2 linked regions of the Kluyveromyces lactis genome follow. The protein of the gene in region 1 purifies or fractionates together with the protein of each later gene. This does not show direct contact. Links are inferred from orthologs where the notes say so. Each region holds a gene or a part of one and is shown on either strand. Other genes may lie near its edges.

Region 1 (3,192 bases):
GGTAATTTCTTGTACTCTCGTAGATAAAGCATATTCCATAAATCAACGATTGGTGTATAATGGATCCCTTGCAAGGGAACCAAAAATTCCAGATCAGCCAATCTGACGAAAGCTTGGTGGATATTGAAAATATCAGTATCATTGGAATTGGATTCAGACGCTAAATAATCTTTTACGGTAAGTGATCCAAGGGCGAGAACGTTATGAATAATTTGTTGTGCGATGTTGACCAAGTGTTGCTCCTCATCCTGGTTGAAATATTGAACAATTCTGTCGCTGATGTCACCCGCATATAACATAAGGAACAAACCTTCTTCGTTAAAGTAGTAATAAAGGGTCTTACGACCAGAGAGTGAGGTTTCTTCCAAATATTGTACGCATCTTAATTGAATCAAACTGACCAAAACGGTTTTAATACTGGACAACGAAAGTTCTGGTATGAAAGAATGAATTTCTCTCGTGGAGAGTCTTCCTTTGTTGACCAACACGGATAGAACAGTACTGGCTCTTTCACCAAGATGGGATCTGGCAAGTTCAGAGTATAAAAACGAATCTGGGTTAAGAGTTCTCTGCTCTAATGAAGAGATATCGATTGGTTCTGGTGATGTGGATGTGGATGGTTCTGCGGCTGATACAACACTTGCACCACCATTTGGAACAGCCGCATCGGGGATCAGGGCAGCTTGGGCAGCACTCATGTCAGTGCTTGCAATAACAATTGTTTATTTTCCTACCTTTTCTACAGTCGAGCCACCTTGTTGCAGTAGTCATGCATGTATGCGATGAGATGAGATGAGATCAATTCAATTGATAGATTTTTTTTTTCTTTCAATACGAATGGATGGGTCTTTCAAGAAGATCGAAAGAAACAGGCAACATTATTGTAAGTCACGTGGTCACAACCACGTGACTTTTGTGTTTCTGTGTCACGTGACATCTCATCACTCACGAACCAATCATTTCTAAGAACCGTGTCCAACCATTTTTTCTTCAAATGGTTTACCAATACCCTTTCACAGTGCATTACGCGATTCCTGTCTGTTCCCTCTCACTCCCAGTACGTTCCGCTAAAACCCGATATCCCCTTCTTACTGTGACTCCAAGATGGTCTAAGCACGCTTCTCCTTTCTACAGAATCAGCTCGCTTCTTCTCTGATTCCTCTGTAGAGATCAGTCTTCACATCTCGAAATATCTTTTTTTTTTCAATTTTTTTTTTTTTTGTTAGTTATTGGATTTTATCGCATATAGCTTTATTCAATAGGTTCTTGAAAAATTTATAACAAAATATGACAATTCTACTTCAAAGTTTAGAGCTTTTTGTTTGAAGATTGGTTTTGATTACAGGTTTTGTAAAGATTTGTGATTGATATACTATTTTGATTACTTTGTTTTACTCGTTACTCTGTCAGTGTACTTTTTTTGCTCTGTTTCGATACTTATTTTGTGTGTGAGTAAATATTATTTGAGTTTGGACATTAAAGGAAAAGTAGAGGAAGACCTTTTGATTAACGCATAATTGATATTGATATTGATTGATATTCTGACTCCCAAAATTAAAAAGCCCATAAACATATAATATAAAGATGTTGTCCAGTAGATTACAATTTGCCCAGCAAACTGCTAGAAAATTCAGTATTTCCGCTAAAGACGGTTCCGGTAAACTATCCACTTTGGCTGTTAAGGTTCACGGTGGTTCTCGTTACGCCGACAAAGAAGGTATTGCCCACCTTTTGTCCAGATTCAACTTCCATAACACCGGTAACAAGTCTGCTTTGAGATTGGTTAGAGAAAGTGAATTGTTGGGTGGTAAGTTCGAATCCAGTGTTGACAGAGAATACATCACTTTGAAGGCTACTTTCTTGAAGGAAGATCTTCCATACTTCGTTAACGCTTTGGGTAACGTTTTGTACAAGACCAGTTTCAGACCCCACGAATTACCAGAATCTGTCTTGCCAGCTGCTAAGTACGACATTTCCGTTTCTGAAACTAACCCAATCAACAAGGCCGAAGACTTACTTTACAATGTCTCTTTCAGAAAGGACTTAGGTAACACAGTTCTATACAGAGGTGTCGAGAAGGTCACCTTGGATGATATCAAGGCTTATGCCAACAAGGTCTACACCAAGGAAAACATTGAAATTGTTGGTCAAGGTGTCAACGAAGCTGACTTGAAGAGATTTGTCAACGACTCTTTGATTGGTTCTTTACCAACTGGCTCCAAGTTGGCTGCTCAAGCTCAACCAAAGTTCTTCTCCGGTGAAGCCAGATTAAGTGCTCCAGGTGCCTCCGTTGCCGCTATCGCTGTTCCAGTTACTAAGGAACAGTTCGCTACCTACGAAGTCTTGGCTAAGTACCTAACCTCTGCTTTGTCCGAATTGTCTCCATTAATTGACTCAGCTAAGTTAGACAAGTACGCTAATGCCGGCTTGTTCTCTTTATACGTCAAGGGTGAGGATGCTTCTGTCGTTGCTGAAAACATAAAGAAGGTCGTTGATACCTTGAAGAAGGATGTCGACATTTCAGCTGCTAAGGAATACACTGCCTTGCAATTATCTTTGGAAAACGCTCCAATCGATGTCTCTAATGTCAAGAATGTCAAGTTGGACAAATTCTCTTACGCCGCTGTAGGTAACGTCGCTAAGCTACCTTTCGCTGATGAATTGTAAATTTCATCACAGTTAAAAATAACTCACAGATTTTAACCTTTCTCCTACTAGCCAAAGTTACACACATAGTACTTTAAAACTGAAAAAAAAACAACAAACAAACACACATATTCATGAGAGATGACAGAATCACATCACTGAAATGTTTAGAAACGATATTACATTTCTATTGTACATATTTTTTATTATCTTTTACCTTTCGTGGCTTTTGGAAACATTGCAACCTAAAAGAAACCAATAAAATTCAAAAACAAAACTCTCTAAGATTCAAAAGAACACCTTTAACCTTTGGAAAAACTGGTGATGTTAAAAGAGAACCCGTCAATATCTTAATCTTTTGAAATGTGCAGAAGCCACTGATCAAATTCAACAGTTCTGTTGATTCATACAATCCCCATCACTGCTCTTAAGAAAAACAATCAAACAGAGGTTGTGGTGATATTGCAAGAACGTTGGTTTAATACGTAGTGTGTCTTCTTGCCGAACCTATTTTTATTTTCACATATCATCTTAGAAACTTATCAC
Region 2 (1,982 bases), on another chromosome or scaffold:
GATGTATTCCAGCATATGAGACAAAACGACAAATTATACGGGTTTGCCATGGCCATGGGTGAAGACCAAAAGACGATCCCGACGTTATGGGAACATACGTATAAGTATTTTTTCGAAATGCACCCTGAACTTGTCAGCAAACGAAACAACTTCAAATTCATCTCGGACGATGACGGAGCCACGTATAACGGATGTCATTTTTGGACTAACTTTGAGATTGCCCATTTAAAGATATTCAAAGACCCGAGTTATGGGTACGAATCTTATTTCCAATATTTGGACTCACTTGGTGGGTTTTTCTACGAACGTTGGGGCGATGCTCCGGTTCATACGCTTGCATTTAGTTTGTTACTAGACGTTGACCAAATCCATTTTGTACCCGATACAGGGTACGCACACAATCCAAATCAAGATTGTCCAAGAGATAACCCGTTGAAAGAAATATTGAGATGCAATTGCCAAGCCTCAAAAGATTTCACGTGGCATCGTTGGAGTTGCGTCAGTAAGTTCTTTGATGTGAATGGACTGCAGAGGCCAGATACCTTATCACAAGTGAAGAAACACTACTCATATTTATTACCAGAAAATAAGAATATGGACAGGACACAGCCTATGACAACAGAACTCAAATAATTGGATAATTAACAGTCCCTGATTGCCAAGTGTGTCTGTCCTTATCCTTGTTCTACTAGTTAACCGATACAGATATGTAATCATGGTACCCAAATTTCCTATTTGCACGTGACCTACAACCAATCATCTCACTGTCCACGTCGTTCACAATGACATCAACACTATATGATAAAAAAGATAAAAAAGCTTCAATTCAATTAACTGGAGCATTATACCTTTACTATGGGATGTGCTTTTGGTCAACGTTGCAGATATCTATTTTAGAGCTGAAAAACACCAGTATACTTATTCCAAAATGGTTGCTGTATGTGTAGACATGTGTCTGGAATGTGGTTAATGTTTTGAAAGAGACTTTAGAGATGGAGTAGATCAAAACTCATAACTGAATTATCCAGATTTTTTTAGGTATACCGATATCTCCAGACCTTAAAGGTAAGGTTATGAGTACCTTTAGGAAGGATCTTTCATATACCTGATGTATCTTGGGCAAATATAAGCCCTTTGAAGACTGTTTTTTTACTAACATTTCATGTGTCAAGGGATATTTCCCTAAACAATTATCTTCATCAGTACGTTTCTAAACTATCAGCAAAGACTGCTGCTCACTTCGGTAGAATCACTTTTGAAAACTTGAAGAGTTACGCTCCAAACTTGGCTCTTTGGGGTGGTGCTTCTACTTTCGGTTTATTCGTGTTCACCGATGGCTGGCCAACTTTCCAAGATGCCTTCTACAGAAAGATCCCATACTTCGGTGACCACTGGGTTAAGGTTGTTGCTCCAGAAGACAGTCCTCAATAATTGATTATGCGTTATACGTATGATATTTTTTTGAACTTTCGTCATTGCAGGTTGCTTTCTCTCTAGATATGCTTAACGAGAGGAAGCATATTCTCAATCCCAAAGCCTAGAAGTAAGGAATTAAAATATTCTTCTGAGCACCATTATTATTATTTATTTTATGAAATAAACCCTCGAAAGAACGTTACTTTCGAAAAAGCACTTCAATTACACATTATTCATATAAATAGGACCCATCCTTTTACTAAACGTATATAAGTAAAGAGATATAAATTGTTTTATGTCAAAAGAAAACGGATTGGAATTGGTCGTTATTCATTATTTGCTACAAACTAATATACGTTGGGACATAATCATTACAGCTTACGCTCTCTGACACACAAAGCCAGAATTATAACTTTGATTTACCGATCAATTTAATGGCAGAATTGTCCAATACGATCTTACCAGTATTCAAATCAGTAGTTTGGAAAATGACAACATCGTTCTTCTTCCATGCTTTTACCTTTAATCTGTCTCCAGGGAAAACAACATTAGTGAATCTTGCCTTT

The links.
Region 2: the proteins of QCR2 (region 1) and QCR10 purify together in Saccharomyces cerevisiae (affinity purification with western blotting; 4 studies listed by BioGRID, with this or other methods). This does not show direct contact. The link is inferred for Kluyveromyces lactis from reciprocal best matches to the Saccharomyces cerevisiae genes QCR2 and QCR10.

What each region holds. Positions count from the first base shown.
Region 1 is NC_006038.1:322,952-326,143, forward strand, and holds QCR2 (ubiquinol--cytochrome-c reductase subunit 2), read left to right. Parts: upstream 1-1,584; coding exon 1,585-2,667; downstream 2,668-3,192. Other genes in the region: RPC82 (DNA-directed RNA polymerase III subunit C82), read right to left, coding at 1-698. UniProt on the Saccharomyces cerevisiae protein: Component of the ubiquinol-cytochrome c oxidoreductase, a multisubunit transmembrane complex that is part of the mitochondrial electron transport chain which drives oxidative phosphorylation.
Region 2 is NC_006041.1:1,221,940-1,223,921, reverse strand, and holds QCR10 (ubiquinol--cytochrome-c reductase subunit 10), read left to right. Parts: upstream 1-928; coding exon 929-937; intron 938-1,203; coding exon 1,204-1,431; downstream 1,432-1,982. Other genes in the region: KLLA0_E13861g (glycosyltransferase family 15 protein), read left to right, coding at 1-633; bifunctional hydroxyacyl-CoA dehydrogenase/enoyl-CoA hydratase FOX2, read right to left, coding at 1,823-1,982.